Linked DNA regions of Mus musculus. The protein of the gene in region 1 purifies or fractionates together with the protein of each later gene. This does not show direct contact. Links are inferred from orthologs where the notes say so. Each region holds a gene or a part of one and is shown in the gene's direction. Other genes may lie near its edges.

Region 1 (6,681 bases):
GGATTTTTGTTTCTTAAGACAAGGCTTGGGCTGGTGAGATGGCTCAGCAGTTAAGAGCACTGACTGCTCTTCTGAAGGTCCTGAGTTCAAGTCCCAGCAACCACATGATGGCTCAAAACCATCTGTACAGCTACAGTGTACTCATATACATAAAAATAAATCTTAAAAAAAAAAGACAAGGCTTCATATAGCACAGGCTGGCCAGGATCTTACTTTGTAGTCCAGGAAGGCCTTGTACTTTCTGGAAATCCTCTTGAGAACTTTATTAGAGGTTTGAGCCACCATACCCAGGAGATCTCCACACAGAGGTAGTCCTTTGTGCATGTACCCCTGCATGCATACAAATGCATGTAACAAAATATTGTAAAATAGTGTGCATAGAGAGGTGATTCCAGCAGGCCAGGCAAAGCAAAGGCCAATGAGAGTGGCCGTGGCTAGTGTCTCGGTTGGGTTTCTACTTTGTAATAAAACACCCCAACCAAGAGCAACATGGGGAGGAAAGGGTTTATCTCAGCTTACAGTGCTCAGATCATACTCCCTTTCTGAAGGAAGTCAGGGCAGGAACCTGGAAGCAGAAACTGAAGCAGAGGCCACAGAAGATGGCGCAGAGGCTCACTGGCTTGCTCTACCTGCTTCCTTACACAATCCAGGACCACATGCCCAGGAGTGACACCACCCACAGTGGGCTGGGACCTCCCACATCAATGACCAGTTAAGAGAAGGCTTCACTGGCTTACCCACAGGCCAACCCGGTGAGGGTGTTTTCTCAGGTGAGGTTCCCTTTTCTCAAATTGCTCTAGCTTGTGTCAAGTTGACATAAAAGTAGTCAGCACAGCTGGAAGTTGGAGAATACTCCAGGGCAAAGAGAAGTAAGTGCAAAGACAGGTAAGAGGTGTTCTGGGGGCTTCAAGTAGAATATATTTCATTACATCTGGAGCAAGTTTAAGTATGGTTTATTAGAACATAAGACCAGAAAAGAAAAATATATATACATAAGGTCAAAGAAACAGCAGAATCTTGAAAGTCTTTGATATCACTACCCACAAGGCAGTGGGAGTCATCAAACGGTGTTTTTTTTTTTTTTTTTTTTTTTTCTCATTTTGTTTTTTTTTTTTTTCCCCCTGTCATTTTATAGTCCAGGCTAATAGAAAATGTAATCCTCCTGCCTCAGCTTCCTGAATGGTGGGGTTCAGAAAACCGTTTTAAACAGGACAATGATGCCAGATTTAAGTTTTAGAAAAAAAAATCACTTCTGGATAATGAAGAATTTAATCGAAGGTGCCAGGCAGAGAGGCCATGTGGGAAGGCCAAATGGGGATTGTGGCTTGCATATCAGGGGCAAGGTAAATGAGTCAGGAGAGTACCCGGAGCAAGTTTGAATGTGCACCCAAATGTGCCAAGAAGCCTCCAGAGAATTCAAGCTCACCTAAGCAATGTTTATATTCATTTTCAGAGGGAGTGTTAGTGTTGGAAGAGCTCTTGAAAACTCAGAACCTTCTCCCCTCAACTTCATAGAGAAAGAAAAGCCCAGAGGCAAATTTGCTTGCTCAGGGTCAGACAACACATTAGTCAGTGGCAGAACATGTCTGTCTATAGTTACAAAGCCTCACCCATCCTCTAGTGAGACTAACCGGCTGGAGGTGCTGTGCCAACAGGAGTAGATCTGAGGAGCTGGAAAAACATTTGAAGGGATTGGATACAGTTTCTTCTGCTTTACCACTAGCAACTCCAGGGATAGTTCTTTCCTGCAGAACACTGTGCTAAGAGAAGCAGATACAGACGTGTGCAGTAGGAGTGCCTATCTGCTCCCAACATCCCCACTCCAGCCTAGAAAGGGAGTAAAGGGCAGACAGTAGCCCCGTCCTTCCCTCCCACGTGGTTTCTCCAGCCAAGTTCTCACGGAGTGGCCCCTCCTTCAGCGGCTCCACTGTTACCATGGCAATTGGGTGGGTGGACAGCACGTCCTATCTAGAGGCCAGCAGCCCTCGCGTGGGGAGTTACCATAACAACCCCCCTAGTAATAGAGGGGGTTGGGTCCCGCCTCCCTTCCCCCGCAAATCGAGAGGTAGGTGGTTTGATTGGCAGCTGGGCACACGAAAGAGGGAAAGGGAAGAAAAGGAGTCAAATAAAGATCAACGAAGGAACTAGAGGAGAGGAGGCAACAATAATAAAAGGGGGAAAAGGAAGGGAAGGTGTATGCGCACGCGCACCAGCGGGTGGTCGCGCTCCTTCCACTCCAGGCTCTAGCGAGACTGGGTCCGCGCTCGCCCTCCGCCCGCTCTCCTGCGCCTGCGCGCAGGTGTCGGCGCCCCGCAGGAGGGGGCGCCCGGCGCGTTCGCGTCACGGTCGGCTCTGCGCGTGCGCAGGGCAGCCGGCGACTCGGGTTGCAGGCGCGCGGGTGAGAGCGCCTGTCAGCCGCTGGGTCGGTCCTCCCGCTGGCCCTCCCCCTCCCCGGCCTTCGGGGCAGGCGCGGTGGAGCCCGCCCCTCGAGTCCCCCGATGGGGGAGAAGCGGCGACGGCGGCAGCGGAGTGAGCGAGCCGGAGCGTGAGTGGCCCCGCGGCGGCCATGGGCGACCCAGCCCCCGCCCGCAGCCTGGACGACATCGACCTGTCTGCCCTGCGGGTGAGCACCACCCCAGCCTCGCGCCCGCGACCCCTGCCCTTACCCCGAGCTCTCGCCGCCCGGGGGTTCGCCCTCTGGAGATTCTGGGAGCCAGTTTGGTCCCCACCCTGTGCTGCCCTCCCCCACACTTGCGTGCCACCCCTACCTTGCTGCTGGGATCCGAGTCCCCTCCTTTATAGGCGTTTGAGGGTCACCTCTGGTGTCCCTAAACACAGCCCTGCATCACCTGCAGAGCCTTTCTTGTGTCCCCCCTCTCTCGGCCCTCATGTCTGCTTCCTCCACCTCCTCTTCTGGCTCCTGGAATTTTGACTTTGCAACTGCCTCAGCCTCCCCCTCATCCCTCGTTTTCTTCCTCGCCTACCCCTAAATTGCAAGTTGGGCGGATTTCACCTCCTCGCTCCACCCCACACACCTCCTACGTCTCCATCCCACGTTCACTTTCCCTATCCCTTTTCTCGTGTTTCAAGTGCAGCTTTTCAGACCCAGGCATTTCCGGTCTCGGGGTCCCTGAATATTACATTACTAACTCTGCAGCCGCGTGGGGCTGGGAGGACAGACAAGTGCACAGTGGGAGGAAGGGAAGCCTGGATTTCCTCGGAAACTCGGGCCGGAAGACGATGTTTACATACATGTACAAGCACACACACACACACACACAAACACACACGCACACACAACACGCTGCCTGAGGTCAGTAGGGAGGGAACTAGTGGGAGTGGAGGCAAAGGAGAGTTGGAGGGAGGGGTTCATTAGGGAAGCGGTTAAGAGGAAACAACTGTGTCAGGAATGCTTTCAAATAACCCATTTATTGTTCCACGTGGGGCACTTACTCTCTCTCCTCCCGGAATTTTCAGTTCAGCATTTGTAAGTGTTCTCTAGCGGGCAGCTTTGTCTTAAGGGCAACATAGAAATTTCAAGGTGAACCATTCCAGACTGTCTCCCAGGTGGTGTTTTGATTCCATGCCCGGTGAGCTTTCCCAACCGGCGGCGTAGGTGTAGCTAGAGCAGGATTCCCCACCTCATGCTTACCTTCTCAGAAGGTCTCTGTACACATTGGCTTCTGGCTTGTAAATTACCCAGGGAAAAGGCAGCCACCTCACAAGTGCCCCGGATATGACTGGAGGGGAGAGAGAATTGAAGAGAGCAGAGTCATGTTGTTAATTGGGTTTCTCTAGGTGACACAGTTTTTTTTTTTTTTTTTTTTTTTTTCCCTCCCTTGCCATTCAGGTCATAATTTGTTTGGTGCAACGTTGGGTTATGAGACCTGACTTACTGGAGATAACTTTCTGGAGAACAAGACTGAGTACTGGATCTCCCTCTTTCCTCTCTTCTCTCTCTCTCTCTCTCCCTCCCTCTCTTCTTCTGTCCCCCTCTCTCCTTCTCTCTCCCTCTGTGTGTGCCTGCGCTTGCTTTGACAGGGGAGGCTTTAGATCAGCTTAGTCAGTGTTTAAACTGGGATACTCGAGTCCTTTGGGATGTAAGATGGAAATCCAGGTTTTGAGTAAAGTTTTAATGTGCTTGCATTTGGAATGCAATTGCAAACTGAAGTTGTTGATTAACTCTGGCCGCAGGTTGTCTGGCTGTGGTGACCATAAAGAAACACTGTCACCCAGTGGGTAGGTGCAGGCAGTGACCTTTGATTTTTACCTCTGGTCCTCTACTGCTCTTTTCTCTTGGTTTCTCTGGTAACTTTATCCTGGGCCCCCAACTTGGGATTTCCAGAAAATTACTATTTGCCCTTGGACATGGTATTTCCCTCCGTGAAGTATGTTAGCCTCTTTCCATGCTTACTCCTCCGGGGGTTCCTCTCCTTCCCTTCTAGAGAACTGGGTGACCTTTTCCTTGTACTTCTGTCTGTCCTGCCTTCTGCCTCTGAAGAAAACAGCTCATGTCTCTCACTCTGGTACTCCAGGACCTGTGGAAGAGCTGTACTTTCTTGAATGGGGCTGGAAAGGCTGCTCTCTCCTTGCTGGCTTCTCTCTCAATTGCCAGTCCGGTCCGACACATCTGTGAGAACTGCTTGTGGCTCTGTCAGGCAGCTGGCCCAGTCACACCTTGTTCTTCTGTTCCCGTTTTCTAGTTAGGAATGGAACCATTGGGAGAATTAACCAAGTGTGCAAGCCTGGTGTCAGTGGTTGGGTTAGGGTGAGGGAAGAGCATCCTTAGGGTTGAGAAGCTAGCCTCTATGACCTCAGATGTCTGTCTCCTCTTGTTTCAAGATAAGGCTTGGTTTTCAGCTGACGGTGAGAGTAATAGTCTGATATTAGAGGAAGACTGAGTTGCACTAATCTCTTAGTAAGGTGACCAGAAGGACCTGCTACTTTGTTACCACACCACCCTTGGCTTCTTGGGCTGTTTGTCCATCAGTATGGTGGTGTAGTGTAGTGGGGGATGAACATGAGTCCAGTTGCTTTTCTGAATTGAAACCCCAGCTTCCTTACCTCCTGTAAGATACAGACGTTGGTTTGTTATCCTTACCTCCCTTCCTTCAGACTCTGCGGTCTAACTTCCCTAAGCTCTGTTTTCTTGCCTGTATGGTGGAATTGGCAATAGCATTAGACATAGTTACTGAAGTTAAATGAAATGGTGCACAGTAAGTATTTAGCTCAGTTCCTAGCGTAGAGTGACTGTATTACCAGTCAGAGAAGCCTCCTAGAACTCTAATAACACTTCTCTGCTTTATGTCTCTATAAAATTATTTTTTTCCATACTTATTATCACTAGTTGACATAGATCTATTTCTGTCGATCTTGACTAAAATGTGGATGAAGGCTGGAGGTATAGCTCTGTAGTAATTGTCTGCTTAACATGGTGACACACTAGGATTTTCAGTGCTACACAAATGAAAGCATACTGTAAGCTAAAATTCTGACTGTCCTGTTCCCTCTGTGTCCTTGTGCCTAAGCATTTTATGTAGTGGGACTCAGATATTTGTTAGGTAAGTGCATGCTGCAACAACTGGAAGCTGTTAGTGTATGTTTGCTTAAAGTAACAAAGAAAGCTAGACATGGCCAGAGGAGATGGCTCAGTGGGTAAAGGCAGTCACTACCAAGTCTGATAACAACCTGAGCTTGATCCTCAGAACCCACCTGGTAGAAGAAGAAAGTGGGTTGTCCTCTGACTTCTACACATGTGCCAGGCTGCTTGTATGCATGAGGTCATATATATAACCACACAAAGGTATACACATATACACACAAATATAAGTAAATATGCTAGGTGCTGTAGCACACACTTTTAATTCCAGAAGAAAAGTAGGTGGAGGTCTTTGAGTTACAGGACAGCCTGGTTGGTCTACATAATAGAGAAACCCTGCCTTAAAAGACAAAACAAAAGTTCAAAGGCAGCCTGGAATACATGAGAACCTGTCTCAAAAACAAGGACAGAAAGAGTCTTTTCTGAGGTGCTTTGGAATCAGACCTTGCCTTGTGATAAAGCAGAGCTCTGGGTGCTTCTGATCAAGCAATGGCTAAAATAAAGTTTGTATTATCCTAGAGGAAATAGTATGAAGTCATCTTTGCCTGCGTCCCAACTTTGTTATATTCCGGGAGAGTCTTCTGACTTGGAACTGTTGGCTTTTCACAGAGGATAAAGCATGAACAAAAGCAGCTGGAAGCGGGGAGCAGACCCCAGGCTCCCCTGGGGACCTCTTTCCTTTGACATGACTGCTTTTGGTTGACCCACTTCGTAAATCAAACAGTTTCTTTTTTACTGCCCAGCAGCTCCAAGTTTTAGACTGCAGTGTCTCTGCAGCTGTGGAGCCAGGCAGTGCGGCTGTATCGAAGTAATGCCACGACACACCTTCAAGGGACTTGTTACTGACTGGGTGGTAGCTGCTGACAGGTGGATTTTCTCAAATGACTTTGCATGTTTTATATCTCTCAAATGATTATGTGTGTTCTTTGAGGATGCCGTTCCTCCTCTGTCTGATGCTGTAGAGCCAGCACCACTAGAACGCTGGCAGCGGGCATATGTCTAGGCCGCTGAGCAATGTGGGACTGCTGCTGTGTGCTGAGATGCTAACTGTCCACGTGTTGATGACAGATGTCCTAGGCAGA
Region 2 (5,900 bases), on another chromosome or scaffold:
AGACGTCTTCATCATGGACACTATCGGGGGCGGGGAGGTGAGCCTGGGGGACTTGGCAGATCTCACCGTCACCAATGACAACGACCTCAGCTGTGATGTAAGTTGTTGGGGTACCCCATCAGTCAGGCTCAGCTCTGACCGTGTTACAGGCCTGGGTTCTGTCCCTTTCATGTGAGAACTGTGAGAGGTCATTCCACAGCCCCTGGGCAGCTCCAACACATTGGGCCTCACTAGAGGGTGCAGGGTCTTCCCCATGCCCTCCCTCTTGGGGGATGTGGGGAGATGGTTTTGAGTGGAGCAGCTGGGCTGGAATGAAGAGCCTCATGCCTGGCATTCTGTGCTGTGCACCTTGGATGGGTCGTTGGGACTTTCTGGTGTAGGATCGGATGCATTTTTCCAGGGCAGAAGATCAGGTTACTGACCCCAGTGAGGTTGGGGACCTGTGGAGAATGTAGAAGAGAGGCTGGGCAGGATCTACCTGGGATTGTAGTGCAGCATCCCTCAACCTGCCCCACAGTGGTCCTTCAGAGAGGGGGAACCCACTTGAGCACAAATCTAGTTCCTAAGAATCATGGTGCAAATCTAGCTGATCGCAGGTGAAGGGGTCTGGGGGTGCTGAGGCTTGCCTGACAGCTCATGTTTTCTCCCAGACCGGGCCTTCCACTCAGAGTGAGCAGCCTCACCTTTTAGGGCACGTGCTTTCAGAGTGTCTCTCCCGGGGTCTGAGGCTCGAGTCTCCAGACTCCCCTGTCCTAGAACTTGGTTCCCAAGTCATAGTGAAGGTCGTTCCCTGTGACTGAAGCTTCGGGACCTATCTCTGCAATTATGCTGACTTTCCCCAGAGAGGCCAGGACCGACTGTCATCCACTGCTCTGCAGCCCATGTGGCTTCTCATTACTCTGGGGCTTTGCCGGTTTCTAAGGGATCCACTGTCGTGCCTGCCATTGACCTTTCTGCCTTCTTCTTGTGTGTGTGGCATGTTTCTGAATTTGTGTATCCCAGCCTTGCTGTCTCCTGCCTCAGGGCCTTGACATACTCACCTTGTTCCTAAACGTCCTCTTCCCTGGTACTGGTTAAGTCCTACATAATTTGTCACTCCCTCATGACAACCTCTTGGTCTGTGCAGAGGAGGCTAGGGTGCCTTGGTGTCCCTTTCTCATCCTTAAGAGTTTCCGGTTCTGTGTGTTTAGGAAAGACCTGCCTCTCTTTTCCTAGAGGCCTCTGAACTGTGAGGCCCCAAAGAGTCAGGTTCCTCTGGCCCCTCCAGAGCCTCCCTTGCTGCTAAAACCTGAGTATGTGTGAAGGGCTCTTCTGAGGCACACAGAAAGAAATATCAGGCTGGGGACCGTCAGTTCTAGTCGAGTCAGTTCATGGGTGGTTGTCAGTGTTTGTATGAGTGCTGGGGAATCCAAGAGGACACTGAGGCAGCTCCCCATCCCCAGCTGTCTGACAGCAAAGACGCTTTCAAGAAGACATGGAACCCCAAGTTTACCCTCCGCTCACACTACGATGGCATCCGCTCCCTGGCCTTCCACCACAGCCAGTCAGCACTGCTTACTGCCTCTGAGGATGGCACACTCAAACTGTGGAACCTGCAGAAGGCAGTTACGGCCAAGAAGTAAGGGTGCCACCCTGGAGGGTGCGGGGCCTTAGGACCTGGGGTCCTAGTGATGGGATTCCTCTTTTTCCCACAGAAATGCTGCACTGGATGTGGAGCCGATTCATGCTTTCCGAGCTCACAGGTAGGGAGATGGCTGAGCCTGTTGTAAGCCCTGCGACCCAGCAGCATAGATGGGCTGCTGCTTCTTGCTGCCCTGGAGACCTGGAGCAGTGGAGGCTTGGGCATACCCCTTACTCAGGGGCCATGTTGGTTCCCATTGTGGTTTCACTGAGGCCCCTAGAGCAAAGATGCCAAATTCCTCATGGCATCCTTAAGATATACCTAGGAAAGGACACTGACTGATGGGAGGGCTAGGTGGCTAAAGGTGCCTTCTACTAAGCTTGACAACATAAGTTTGATCCCCAGGACTCAGGTGCTAGGAGGAGAGAACCAACTCCAGAAGTTGTCTTCTGACCTCCACATGCGCATTGTGATATATGACAATAAATACATTTAAATGATATTTAAAAATAGCTAGAAGAGCCAGGCATGGTGGCATGTACTTTGGATCCCAATACTTGGGAGGCAGAGGCAGGCAGATCTCTGTGAGTTCAAGGCCAGCCTAGTCTACAGAGTGAGTTCCAGGACAGCCAGGGCTACACAGAGAAACCCTGTCTTGAAAAAACAAAAACAAAACAAAACTAAAAGCTAGGAGAAATCCTCAAGCTCCCGTGAGCAAGGAAGGCTTGAGCCTTAGCTGCCTTGCATCGCCTCTCCCTTGCACCCTGCAGGGGCCCGGTGCTGGCAGTCACCATGGGCAGCAACAGCGAGTACTGTTACAGTGGTGGGGCTGATGCCAGGATCCACAGCTGGAAGATTCCTGACCTCAACATGGACCCATATGATGGCTATGGTGAGGACAGACCCTGCCACTCCCTCCTCCTGTCACAGCTCTGGGAAGTAGCACTGTAAGCTTCCTGGTCTGACTTAAGGTTAAGAGAGTGGGCGGAGGGAGATGAGGCGTAATGGTGAGGGGAGAGTTGGGCTGCATTTGAGGGACAGTGTGAGCTGGCTTTTGGGGAAGCAGAGGCTAGCCTGGGTCAGGGCCAGAATGGGCTTGGTCAACTTGGTGGACTATGTTGGGGATCAGCTAAGGTCTTATTGTGGGTCAGGGGTTTGTTAGAAACAGAGGAGGTGAGCTGAGAAGCATTGGGGGGACCATAAATGGCAGGGAGTTGAGGCCTTGTCCTTTAGCCCTTTAAGAGTTAAGTGGAGGAGCTGGAGATGGGGATCAGTAAGTAGGTGGAGTGAAGCTCTGGGTCCCATCCCAGTACCACAGGAGCTGGGTGGATCAGAATGCTAAGTTCATTGTTGGTTACATAGGGAGTTTGAGGCCATGAAATCATATCTCAAAAACAAACAAACCAGACAAACAAAAACAAAAAACAAGACATAAATCTTTAATCGCACTCAGGAGGCAGAAGCAAACAATGCTCTGAGTTCAAGGCTAGCCTTGTCTACATACTAAGTTCTAGGCCAGTTAGAGCTACATAGTGTCTCAAAAAAAAAAAAATTGCTGTTTCATCTTACAATGGAGCAGTAATGGCAGGAGGGATAACCGCAATCACAAGTTCAAGACCAGCTTGATTATGTATTGGGTTTCAGGCCTGCTGTGCCACATAACAATCAAGCTACTGCCCGGACATAGTGAATCCCTATTGGGAGGAAAAGTCTTCTCCACTCCAAGAAAAAGTTAAAGAGGAAGTGATAATCTTAGTGCTCAGGAGTTTGAGGCAGGGGGATTTTAATTTAAGGTCCAGGTCAGCCTGCTCGACATAGAAAAGTCTTGTCTCAAAATAACACACTACATAGGACCAGCAAGATGGCTTAGCAGGTAAAGGCACCCCTGATGGTCAGAGTCCAGTCCCTAGAACCCACATTAGAAGGAGGGAACCAACACCAACATGAGTTGTCATCTTGCCACCACTTGGGTTCTCACATACTTGCGTGCGTGAACACACACACACACACACACACACACACGTGCTGGGCAGCAGCCAGCAGGCGCAATGGTGCACACCTTTAATCCCAACACTTGAAAGGTAGAGGCAGAAGGATCTCTGAGTTTGAGGCCAACCTGGTCTACAGAGTACCAGAGTGGTCAGGACTACACAGAGCAACCTTGTCTCTGTGCAGACCAGACACGGGGCAGGGCAGGCGGGAGGGATGGACAGATGAGCAGGTAAGTGGGCAGGTAGATGGAGGAATAAGAGTTAAATAGGAGGAGGCTGGAGAGATGGCTCAGGGAGTAAGAGCACTGACTGCTCTCGAAGGTCCTGAGTTCAAATCCCACATGGTGGCTCACAACCATCCGTAATGGGATCTGATGCCCTCTTCTGGAGTGTCTGAAGACAGCTACAGTGTACTTACATATAATAAATAAATAAATATTTTTTATTGTTATTAAAAAAAGAGTTAATTAGTGGGTAACACTGTCTTGGGAACACCCTCACCCATGTTCTTGGATGTTTCTCACCTTCCTGAGGACCTCATTTTATATTAACTCCCGTGTTTTTGTTTATTCTATTTTGAAACAAGGTCTTAAAACTAGTTTTTAAGTCTGTTTTTAAGAAGCCTTTTACCTGGCAATGGTAGCACACACTTTTAATTGAGGCCAGCAGCCTGGTCTACAAAGTATGTTCTAGGACAGAGAAACCTGGTCTTGAAAAACCAAACAAACAGACAAAAGTCTTTTACTAGGAGAAATGAACACCACGTCCTATCCCTCACCAAGAAGCTATTTACAATTGACTTCTGTGAGGAAGGGAAATGAGCTGCCTCTGAGCCAGAGTCACTAGGTCTATCAGTGACACTCCAGGGCAGGCTTCATGCCTAGGGGTGGCTGACAACTCAGAACACACTCCATGTTGTTGGGGGAAATTTTATGTTTCTTTCATTTTTGGCTCTTTCTTTCTTTCTTTCTTCCTTTCTTTCTTTCTTCCTTCCTTCCTTCCTTCCTTCCTTCCTTCCTTCCTTCCTTTATTTTTCCTTTTCTTTTTCTTTTTTTAAAATCTTCTGCTTTAGTTTTAGTCTTTTAGAGAGAAGGAACATGAAGTTGCTTGGGCAGTAAGGAGGTGGGAAAATCTGGGGAGAGCTGGGGAGAGAAAGAGTGTGCTCACAATATAGTTTAAGAAAAAATTCTTTTAAGTATTTTTTTAAAACTTTTTAAAGTTCTTTTTCTTTTTAAGAGAGGGTAAGTACATTTTTAAAAAATGTCTTATAGGCTGCATGTAGTAATGTACACCTTTAATTCCAGCCCTTGAGGCAGAAGACAAGCAGAGCTCAGTGAGCCAGAACTGCTGAGTTCTTGGTCAGCTGGGGCTACACAGAAAGAAAGAGAGAGAGAGAGAGAGAGAGAGAGAGAGAGAGAGAGAGAGAGAGAGAGAGAGAGAGAGAGAGAAAGGAAGAAAGGAAAAGAAAGAAAGAAAGAAAGAAATGTCTTTATTATAGACTCCATCTCTGCTTAAGTAAAAAAGTTTTTTATTTTGTTTTGTTTTTTTGTTTGGGTTGGCTTCGTTTTTTGAGACAGTTTCTCCGTTTAGCCCCGTCTGTCCTGGAACTCATTCTGTAGCCCAGGCTGCCTTCAAACTCCACCTGCCTCTGCCTCCCTCCCTTAAAGGTGTGTGCTACCACCATTGGTAACCATAAAAGAATAAAATTAAATAAAAAAATTTTAAGTAGTTTTTTTTAATGTGAAGAGATACCCAGAGTTCCCTCCTACTCAGTGCCCTTGCCTAACTTGTTGGTGCTTAGTGAGCTCTTTTTACATGTATCTCTGTGTTACAGATGGTCGTGAGTAAAAGCAAATGCTCTTACCACTGAGCCATTTCTCCAACCCCACTCCCACCCCTCTTTTAAAAGATAGGATTTCACTGTGTTGTCTTTATGTAGACCCAGGTTGGCCTTAAACTCATAGAGATCCTCCTGCCTCTGCCTCCTGAGTGCTGTTTACTCTTGAACATGGCTTTGTGCTAAATTGGTTATGGCAGAATACAGAGTTGCATTTCCTGTCAAACTAATGATCATTTGGGAAGGTCAGGCATCAATCCTAAGTGGACTTCAGGTGTCAGCAGGACTTGACCCAGAACCATGTGAACTTAACAGCGAGAGAGACCACAGAAGGTCCTTTGAACAGCAGAGCCTGAGAAAGTAGAAGGGAAAGACATTGCAGGGACTAAAAGGGGAGCCGAGGCAGCTTTCCTTCGTGCTCCACTGGTCCCCTGAGCTGCTGACCTTGGCC

The links.
Region 2: the proteins of Mink1 (region 1) and Strn4 purify together in Homo sapiens (affinity purification with mass spectrometry; 3 studies listed by BioGRID and IntAct, with this or other methods). This does not show direct contact. The link is inferred for Mus musculus from reciprocal best matches to the Homo sapiens genes MINK1 and STRN4.

Annotation. Positions count from the first base shown.
Region 1 is NC_000077.6:70,560,504-70,567,184, forward strand, and holds the start of Mink1 (misshapen-like kinase 1), read left to right. Parts: upstream 1-2,377; 5' UTR 2,378-2,566; coding exon 2,567-2,623; intron 2,624-6,681. UniProt on the Homo sapiens protein: Serine/threonine kinase which acts as a negative regulator of Ras-related Rap2-mediated signal transduction to control neuronal structure and AMPA receptor trafficking.
Region 2 is NC_000073.6:16,831,484-16,837,383, forward strand, and holds part of Strn4 (striatin-4), read left to right. Parts: coding exon 1-97; intron 98-1,442; coding exon 1,443-1,618; intron 1,619-1,694; coding exon 1,695-1,742; intron 1,743-2,391; coding exon 2,392-2,513; intron 2,514-5,900. UniProt on the Homo sapiens protein: Calmodulin-binding scaffolding protein which is the center of the striatin-interacting phosphatase and kinase (STRIPAK) complexes.